Linked DNA regions of Saccharomyces cerevisiae S288C. The gene in region 2 interacts genetically with the main gene of each other region. Each region holds a gene or a part of one and is shown on either strand. Other genes may lie near its edges.

Region 1 (3,759 bases), on a different chromosome or scaffold from region 2:
TTGCATTAGAAGCTAAGGGTGATGGTAAGTTATTGAATATGTTGAGAATTAAGAATACTAAAAGTAATGTGGAGAACGATTTAGAAGTAAATGGACTATTTTACGCAATAGGTCACAGCCCTGCCACAGATATAGTTAAAGGACAAGTAGATGAAGAAGAGACGGGGTATATAAAAACTGTGCCTGGATCGTCTCTGACTTCTGTGCCAGGTTTTTTTGCTGCAGGTGACGTTCAGGACTCTAGGTATAGACAAGCAGTTACTTCTGCTGGTTCCGGATGCATTGCTGCTTTGGATGCAGAACGGTACCTAAGTGCCCAAGAGTAACGTGAAAAAACCGGTTTATTTTTGTTTTTACTGTTCGATTGTGTTACGTATTCTATGTTTTTTGAGATATATTTGAAATATTTTTATAAGATACATATATATATGTGCGTATTGCTGCGACAAAAGAAGAGACAAAGAGATAGGCGTTGAAATTGACGAGACAAAGAGGAAGACATTAATTAATCATCATTTTAAATGGGATTTTTTTACTTGCAAGCTTTTGACCTGCTCTTCTAGTTTTTTTACCTTTCCTTGAATTTCTTCCAAGTCACCGTTCAGTCTGATTCTTTCGTTAACAATGTTTTGCTCCCATTGTCTAAATCTTTGCTCCTCAGCTTTGACTTGGTCAGTGAAATACTTCTTCAATGCATTTTCTTCTTCTTTGTATCTAGGATTGTGTGACAATTTCCTTGCTGGTGCAATTGCTGGAAGAGTGAAATCTTCATTCCCCTCCCCGGTGTTCTCGTGACCCTCAAGTCTTAATCTTCTGTATGTTTCGTAATGCATTTCTTGGGTGGTAGAAATCAAATCTAATAGATAAGTCCTCAGTAACAGGGCTCTGAGCTTACGGAAATCACAATGAGAATCGTTTTCGATTTCCACAAGTCCCCAAGGATACTTCCTTGCAACTACCTGAGTGCCTTGCCCATTGTCAAATTTTTTTTCAGACCCTACTATGGCAAATGGCATTGCTTCTATCAACTGTCTTGCATGTTCAACAGCGGCAGAATCTGGATTACTGCCACTTTTGGCATCTTCCTTAGAATCAGCGTCTAATGGAGGCGTGAAAATACGAATTTCTTGAGCTTCTATTACTTGCCTGATTCTGGACTTGAACTGTTGTAATTCTTGGGCAGTCAATGTATCAGCTTTCGCAATAACTGGAATCAGATTGGCTCTGGTTGACAATCTCTTCATAGTCTCAATGTCAATTGGCTTTAAACCATGTCCAGTGGGCCTGATGAAGTACAGAACGGCATGAACTCTCAAGTCAAATTTCTTAGTACGGTACGGTTGCTGCTCTTGACGCATATAAGAATCGTGTTGATCATCAATAAAATCCACCAATGGTTGCCAGGCTTTGTTGTTATTCACGTTATCTCCAAAACCTGGGGTGTCGATGACATTAACGCGTAATTCGAAATGCTTCTCTTCCAGCAAAGCTCTTGTGATGTCGATTTCTACAGTCTTTCTGATGGGTTCTTGGCGGTGTTGCTGACCATCTGCCCTTTTCAAGACAGTCTGAAATAAGGTATTAATAAATGTAGTTTTACCCAATCCGCTCTCACCACATAACATCACGGTGAATGTACCACCTTCTTCATTAACAATTTTATAACGCTGGTTGGGAAGATTGGATATCCCTACAGGAGGAGGAACAGGGGCAGCAGTCGCAGTGGCAGCACTCATTATTTGATACAATATGTGATGTAGTTCGTTATCAATACTCTTCAGGTCAAGATCCTATATCTTGCTGCACCTTTCAAGACTTTGATCTACTCAAAACAAACAATGGTGATTTCGAAAAAAATTTCGGATTCTTCACTTTTCCAGCGCCCTGTTTTTTTTCTGTAATCACGATTGCAAAAAAAAGAGACTTACCATAGGACAATTTCCATAAACAAAACAAAGAGCAACATAACTCATAGCTGAATTGCTAATCGTGATACTGCATCATGTCCCATCCGCACTCACATAGCATATATTTGTCTGAGTTGCCCGTCAGGAAACCTCAAGCCTTGGGCAATCCTCTTTTGAGGAAGATTCAAAGAGCTTGCAGAATGTCACTTGCTGAACCAGACTTGGCGTTGAATCTTGACATTGCTGACTACATTAATGAAAAACAGGGCGCTGCCCCTAGGGATGCTGCCATTGCACTTGCTAAACTGATCAACAATAGAGAATCGCACGTGGCAATATTCGCGTTATCTCTATTAGACGTGCTTGTCAAGAATTGTGGATACCCATTCCACTTGCAAATTTCTAGAAAGGAATTTTTGAATGAACTGGTCAAGAGATTTCCAGGTCACCCACCATTACGTTATTCTAAGATTCAGAGATTGATTTTAACTGCTATTGAAGAATGGTATCAAACAATTTGTAAACACTCAAGCTACAAGAATGATATGGGTTATATTAGAGACATGCACCGTTTGTTGAAATATAAGGGTTATGCATTCCCCAAAATCAGTGAATCCGACCTAGCAGTTTTGAAGCCTAGTAATCAATTGAAGACCGCTAGTGAAATTCAAAAGGAGCAGGAAATTGCTCAAGCTGCAAAACTCGAAGAATTGATCAGGCGTGGTAAACCTGAAGATTTGAGGGAAGCTAACAAATTAATGAAAATCATGGCAGGGTTCAAAGAAGACAATGCCGTTCAAGCTAAACAGGCTATTTCCAGTGAATTGAACAAATTGAAGCGTAAAGCCGATTTGCTGAATGAAATGCTGGAATCACCTGACTCACAAAACTGGGATAACGAAACTACACAAGAACTTCACAGTGCATTAAAGGTAGCTCAACCAAAATTTCAAAAGATCATTGAGGAAGAACAGGAAGACGATGCGTTAGTGCAGGATCTATTGAAGTTTAATGATACAGTTAATCAACTATTGGAAAAATTCAACTTATTGAAAAACGGTGACTCCAACGCTGCTTCGCAGATACATCCAAGTCATGTTTCTGCTCCGTTACAACAATCTTCTGGTGCTTTAACGAATGAAATCAACTTAATCGATTTCAATGATTTGGACGAAGCGCCCTCTCAAGGCAACAACAATACCAACGGCACGGGTACACCAGCAGCAGCGGAAACATCTGTCAATGACTTATTGGGCGATTTGACCGATTTATCTATTTCGAACCCTTCAACCGCTAACCAAGCATCCTTTGGTCTGGGAGGCGATATCGTGTTGGGGTCCTCTCAACCCGCACCACCAGTTACTACTACTAACAACTCGAACAACACTTTAGATCTTTTGGGACTTTCAACTCCTCAATCGCCAACTAATTCCCAAGCAGTAAACAGTAGTGGGTTCGATCTTTTGATGGGATTTAATCCAACAACAGGTACTACTACTGCGCCCGCAAGAACCCTAGTCAATCAGTCTCCTAACTTGAAGATTGAGTTCGAAATATCTAGGGAGTCAAACTCAGTTATAAGGATAAAATCGTTCTTTACAAACTTAAGTTCGTCACCGATCTCCAACTTAGTGTTCTTATTAGCAGTCCCTAAGTCAATGTCTTTGAAATTGCAACCCCAATCGAGTAACTTTATGATTGGCAACGCTAAAGATGGTATCTCTCAAGAAGGTACAATTGAAAATGCGCCAGCTAACCCTTCAAAGGCTTTGAAAGTCAAGTGGAAGGTCAACTATTCTGTCAACTCCACCCAAGCTGAAGAAACTGCTGTTTTTACGTTACCTAATGTATA
Region 2 (3,759 bases):
CTCTTCTTTGTCTGACAGCAGCAGCCAATTTCCTCAAGACGTCTTCAGTAGTTTCCCAACCTATACAAGCATCAGTGATGGAAACACCATATTTCAAGCCGGCTTTACCTTCGGCTGGGATGCCTTGGTTACCTTCGTTGATGTTTGATTCAATCATGACACCGGTAATGGCGTTTTCACCGTTAGCGATTTGCTCACAAACAACGTCATTGACCTTTGGTTGGTTTCTGAAATCCTTATTGGAGTTACCGTGAGAGTAGTCAATCATTAGACCGTTGGAACCGGCAGGCAATTGAGCCTTAGCTTCTGCAACGGACTTAGCGTCGTAGTTGGTACCCTTTTTACCACCTCTTAGAATAACGAAGCAGTGTTCGTTACCCTTAGTAGTGGTGATAGCAGCAACACCATGCTTAGTAACACCCATGAAATGGTGAGAATGAGCAGCGGCTTGACAAGCATCCACAGCAACATTTAAGGTACCATCGGTACCGTTCTTGAAACCAACTGGGAAAGACAAACCGGAGGCCAATTCTCTGTGCAGTTGAGATTCGGTGGTTCTGGCACCAATGGCACCGAAGGAGACCAAATCAGCCAAGTATTGAGGAGAAATGGTATCAAGCATTTCAGAACCAATTGGCAAACCGATATTTGTCAAGTTGACAAACAATTGTCTAGCGGATTGCAAACCCTTGTTGATGTTGAAAGTGTTGTTAACATCAGGGTCATTAATTAGACCTTTCCAGCCGACGGTTGTTCTTGGCTTCTCCAAGTATGCTCTCATAATGATGGATAAATCACCTTTTAATTCATCTGACAATTTCTTTAATCTCAAAGCGTATTCTTGAGCGGCTTCTAGATCATGGATGGAACAAGGACCGACAATGACAAGAACTCTGTCGTCTTTACCGGTAATAATATCTATAGCTTCTCTTCTACCTCTCTTGGCAGTTTCCAAAGAAGTTGGTGTGGCTGGGATTTGCACTTGAAGGAGAGCTGGAGAAGCTAATGGGTCGTAACCTAAAATTCTGACATCTTCTTCAGCACCTTGATTTACCTTTGGCATGCCGTTGGCAGCGAACATTGGAGATTCACTCATTTCTGATAGATTCTTTTGTTTACTAAATTTAGCGGTTAAATATATAAAATAAACGAATATAAAGAGAGACTCTTCTAGTTATTCTTAATTACTCTTATAACGATGCTAAAAATGACGAAAGAGGAATTAACACGATATATAGATAATATACCAATGAAAAGAAGAAGAAAGTATGAGAAAAAGTTTCTGTATTAATATGAAATTAAACATTGATTGGATTCGATCACGATGTATTCAATGAGCTAACAATGCGTCCCGCACATCTTTTTTTCAAAATTTCAAGCAAAATTTTTTCATTTCATCGTTGAGTCATTTCGCAGTAACGTACAAAATGCACAGGGTGCAGCGGGTGGGGCCACGTTTTAAAGTGATTCTGCCATGCCTTTGCCTTTATATTAAGCAACATAACTGCCTGACAGTAATGCAACTACACAGTGTTCCGTGAGACCGTTACAGCTTATGTTTACACAGCCTCATGCCCAATGAAAGAGTGTCAATATAAGGAATGCGCTTGCATATATACGAGTACATAATTTGCTGTTGATCACGTGATTCATAATTTTTTTATTTATGTGCCGATGACAATGTTTTCCATCACTTTCAAGGCTAGCTGTATACTGGCAGTTCGTGTTCAAAAACCTGTGTGGAGTTTTACCCTAGCATTCAGTTATGTCAGAAGTGTGTTTGGCATCTATGTTAGGCCAATTGTTATTGTTTTATGCGAATTATGTGGGTTGTGCAGCTGGGGTCAAAAAGAGCGAATGTAATTATATTGTAAACATTAAATCTGCACAATGGAATCTTGTTTAGCCTTTGTTTTTTTCTTTTTCTTTCTATTTCTTTTGTTTTCGATTTTGTTTTTGTGTCACAAAATAACTAATGGCGACATCGCAGTTTTTTGGGCGGCTGCATACTGTTTAATAAAAAGAAGTTACTGCTACCTCAAGATTTCTTCCTAAGCACTCAAGCCCATGTTTGCCAGTATTGTTATCTTGCAACAAAATCAGACAAATAGAATTTCCCTTTTTTGTTTGACTAATGTTGTTTTCGTCTTCATCTTCTTCACTTAATTCCGAGGTTTCACAAGTGTTCTCGGAAAATATATCTAGTAGATCCACTACTCTGACTGAAAGTTCCACACAAAGCGAGATAAGGCAGCATTTTGGTAATGAAGATTTCAGTGGTGAACTACCAAAAAAATTAATTCAACTCAAGAAATTAAAAAATGGTGGCACTACAATCAAGAAGGCTAAGGAAGACCTTGAGTATTGCTATGATTCACTACGGCTGTACGAAAATCCCTATGTAACATCATCTGTAGATAAAAAATGTGGTTACAGCATTGAATTGTATCTAGATAACAAGTACAAAACACTAATGTTCTCCGATTTACAATTGAATGCTGACTATCCGTTGTATTACGATTCCTCACTGGATAATATATCTACAAATGTTGAAAGAGAAAGAGCCACTCCTCTACAAATCAAAGGAAAGATTAGGATAAACATTGATAGAGAAGACCAGGCCCTCTTAATCACTTCCCATTCAATTTCTTTAAAATGTTTCACAAAGGAATATGCATGCTTTGTAAATTCAGAAACTAGCAAAAACTCCTATAGTGACAAAATTATCAAAGAACTTAATCACACAGAGTTTTTTGAGTCTTCCACCTACCCCAAACAGCAGTTGAGAGTCATACACCACTCATTAAATGATAAGAAAATTCTATTGACAAAGGGCACGTACGATTACCCATTCACTTTTACCCTTCAAGCAAATACTTTCCCAGCAAGTTTCTCTTCCTTCTTTGGCAAGACCCATTTTCGAATAGAAAGCTTAACAACAATAATGAGAATACCAAGTAAACCTAAAAACTTACTCAAATTTTTGAAGAATGAAAGTTTTACAGATAAGATCATTTTAACAGAAGAAATTAAAGTTAAAAGAGTCCTGCCTTCAACGAGTATGCTTAAGTTTGAAACATTTCAATTAAGGTCATACAATACTGCAAGTGAGATCGTAGTATCGGTCATTGGAAACTCCAAGTTGATTGAAATTGGTATGCCTTTCCAAATGATATTATCAATTACCAAAACAGATTCTTCCATTGAATTACAGGAAGCTTCTTTGGCAGTTGCACAGAGAATGGCAATACCAAGTATTGATTTGAAGACCAAGAAAATACTACGAGAGCCATACATTAAAAAGTCCGAGTATTTACTAAGAACTGTAGAAAGCCAAAGTTTCGATTCCGACAAGACCATTTTCGGATTTTGCTTTGATGACGTTGTCATCCCAACCTATGCGGATGGTCTACCGAGCTGGTTTAAAACATTCTACTGTGAACCAAGTTCATTTTATCCCAATCATGCTGCCCTCAAAGTAACTCATTTGCTTTTGTTCAGAATAACCTATAGCAGGAATGAATTGGTGGAAGGGCTTGAAATGAAAAAAAATTATCGTATTACGGTGAATTTTCCAATTTTAGTTGGCGATAGTGATATTTCGACCAGCTCTTTGTTACCCAAATATGAAAAATTTGAAAATATTAGTGATCTACAAGATGAACCCCCACTATATTCTATGGTAGCAGGTGAGAATAGCTTATGAATGTTCGGTACCTCAGAACAACGCCTCTATTTTATCCTTTTTTTTTTTATTTG
Region 3 (2,883 bases), on a different chromosome or scaffold from region 2:
CAAAAATTGGTTATGTGCTTCCATTGTAATAACTAATTGTGTGCGTTGCGCGGGGTTGTGTGGCTCAAAAAGATCTGTTTTTGTATTAGCAATTTTTTATTTCCCTTTTTAAATGAATTTTTTTTCTTTCTGTTTCGAGACAAGGCCTTTTGCAAAAAAAAAAAAAGTAAAAAAGTGAAATTTGATAGTGTAAGGGGACAGAGGTGGGGTCAGAAACCAATGTATCTATTGATAGTCTTTTTTTGATCGAAAAGCCAAGAGACAAAAAATGAAGAAAATGAGAGATAAGGAATGAAACTTTAGGAACATTGAAGATTCAATCGCCGTTTTTATACGCCAGAGCTTCATGAGACCAAGGAAGGAACGGACGTCGTCTACCGATTACAGTAAGCAAAGAGGATGGTGTTGCCACAACAACGCCCATCGGGAAGGCAAGAGACGCTGTGGTGAACAATAACTGCCAAAACGTGGTTCTCGCACGCTGAAAAGCGCGTTCTCGTGCGCCGCTTTCAGTGTGCTAGAACTTGCACTGTCCGGTTTCCGGTGCTTGGTGTTGGGTGGTCGTACCTGCTAGTTCCATTGGTGCGGTGTATGGGCGGGTACCCTCAAAAAGGGAAACGAAGGTAGGCGCACGGTGCTTATTAAGCTCAGAGGCGACCTCGCAGAAGGGGGCAGACCACACAAGCGGTGGAGGCGCTCCAGATATTCAGTGGAGTGGGGCTTGCTCATGTTCTGTTGTTGGTTTTGGATAGAAAAAGAGCGGGTTGAATAGTTTGCCATGGCAACCACTCTGGAAGCGAAATCACATAGACGCGTAAACACTCACACACAGGATATTCGTATAGCAAGGTACTAGTGGCGACACTCAGGTGGTCCTCGTTGCCTTATCTCCAGATTCCTCAATTTCTGTGAAACGTAAACATTATGGGAATAGTCTAGACGCGTACTTCATTTTCTTTGTTTCGTGAAAAGTACACTTTCCCGTCTTCGCCGGTTCCCTTTCTTGCCTGAAATGCTCGTTCTAATGGAAAAAAAAAGAAATAAAGGTGGGCCTGCCCATTAGCAGGAAATTGGTACTTAATTATTGAAAAAAAAATTATTGGTTGCTAAGAGATTCGAACTCTTGCATCTTACGATACCTGAGTATTCCCACAGTTAACTGCGGTCAAGATATTTCTTGAATCAGGCGCCTTAGACCGCTCGGCCAAACAACCACTTATTTGTTGAAAGCGAGCGCGGTACAAGTAATGTTACCTCATCTGATATACAATAAAGGTGGAGCGCCAATATATACGCATTTGACTGTTCATAATTCATTGAATATAATTTATTCCTTGTTAGTACAAAAGGGTTAAACAGAAAAAGACGTGACGTTGTAACCGAGAGGATGGTAACACCGCGGTATCACCCACTCGCCCAGCCGTTAAATCCAATCATCCGAATAAAATGTTTGTCCTTGCTAGTTTGTCCTGGTGATAAAAGCCATGACCACTTTTCTTGGAGCCTGCATCTGTTATCTCTCCCGTCGATAATGGACTTTGCACCGGTGTATTACCCGCAAGAATTCTGATAACGTTCAAGCTAAAACAAAACTGCTAAATGAGTTCTGAAATGGCATTTATGAGTACATATGATAGATTTGCTATGTATCAAACCTGGAACTGGCGCTAGCGCTATGGTTTCACTTCCTCATTAAACCATACCCTTGACGATTTGACAGGTCGCTACAGATTCAGAAAGAGATCATATCAATACAACAAATAAAATATAAGCGAATAAAGAGCAATGTCTTTCCCCTTTAGTCACATTACTAGCCAACGCTAATTCTTGATCTCCTTCCTCTTGTTTCCGGTGTATCTTAGTTTTCCTGGCGTTGCCGAAGAGTAAAAAAATCCTAGGTCCTAAGATTTATAAAATCGACAAAAAGAGGATTCAAGTAGGATATCTGTCAGTTCAAACCAATCAATCTTTTCTCTCCAACAACAGTTTGAGCTTATTTAATCAAGAAAATGGGTCTATCATCTATCTTTGGCGGCGGTGCACCATCACAACAAAAGGAAGCAGCCACTACTGCAAAGACAACCCCAAACCCTATAGCCAAGGAGCTGAAAAACCAAATTGCTCAAGAACTGGCTGTGGCTAATGCGACTGAATTAGTGAACAAAATTTCTGAGAACTGCTTTGAAAAATGCTTAACTTCGCCATACGCTACCAGAAACGATGCGTGCATTGACCAGTGTTTGGCTAAATATATGAGAAGTTGGAATGTCATATCAAAGGCTTACATCTCCAGAATCCAGAACGCCTCCGCTTCTGGCGAAATCTAAACACACCATCAGGATCAATTTACTGCGCAGTATGTACTCGTACTTGTATATAAGATTCAAAGGATACCAAGAAAATGCTATTACGTTTAATAACGTCGAAGAACAGTATTGCACTATACTTGCTTGGTATAGATATGTACAAAATATATGTATATACATAAAATGAGTTATTCTTTTTCCTAATTCTCTTTTTCCTTTAGTAGAATATAAAATTATAATAAGGATTTTGTGAACATCTGACAGACAGGCTCGTTCGTGTCTATTTCCATTCTGAAATTTGAATGCGCTTTGGCGAGACATAGATTTGTGTCAAAATATGAAGTTGAGTGCCTTTATGAGGTTGGGTTGAACATGAACAACCAGCCAAAATAAAAAAATAATAAATAAGACGAGTGCCACTTATATAGCTTGAGAGAGAGAGAGAGCGTTTGCACGTATATGTGTGACATAATCAGCGTTTACTCATCATCGTCGTCTCCATCGCCTGCAGCTATTCGAGCCTTGACATCTTTCCATAATTTTCCTTTGTTGTGATTCTCGTACCATGAAGTAATAG

Evidence for each region.
Region 1: mutations in SPO23 (region 2) and CDC12 together harm fitness more than expected from each alone (negative genetic interaction), as found in Saccharomyces cerevisiae (one large-scale study listed by BioGRID).
Region 3: mutations in SPO23 (region 2) and TIM13 together harm fitness more than expected from each alone (negative genetic interaction), as found in Saccharomyces cerevisiae (2 studies listed by BioGRID).

Annotation. Positions count from the first base shown.
Region 1 is NC_001140.6:326,301-330,059, forward strand, and holds CDC12 (septin CDC12), read right to left. Parts: upstream 1,737-3,759; coding exon 513-1,736; downstream 1-512. Other genes in the region: thioredoxin-disulfide reductase TRR2, read left to right, coding at 1-326; GGA2 (phosphatidylinositol 4-phosphate-binding protein), read left to right, coding at 2,003-3,759. UniProt on the Saccharomyces cerevisiae protein: Septins are GTPases involved in cytokinesis that assemble early in the cell cycle as a patch at the incipient bud site and form a ring approximate 15 minutes before bud emergence, which transforms into an hour-glass shaped collar of cortical filaments that spans both sides of the mother-bud neck.
Region 2 is NC_001134.8:716,899-720,657, forward strand, and holds SPO23 (Spo23p), read left to right. Parts: upstream 1-2,134; coding exon 2,135-3,706; downstream 3,707-3,759. Other genes in the region: 3-deoxy-7-phosphoheptulonate synthase ARO4, read right to left, coding at 1-1,096. UniProt on the Saccharomyces cerevisiae protein: Regulates expression of PIS1.
Region 3 is NC_001139.9:856,278-859,160, forward strand, and holds TIM13 (protein translocase subunit TIM13), read left to right. Parts: upstream 1-2,009; coding exon 2,010-2,327; downstream 2,328-2,883. Other genes in the region: ribonucleotide-diphosphate reductase subunit RNR4, read right to left, coding at 1-24; QCR9 (ubiquinol--cytochrome-c reductase subunit 9), read right to left, coding at 2,786-2,883.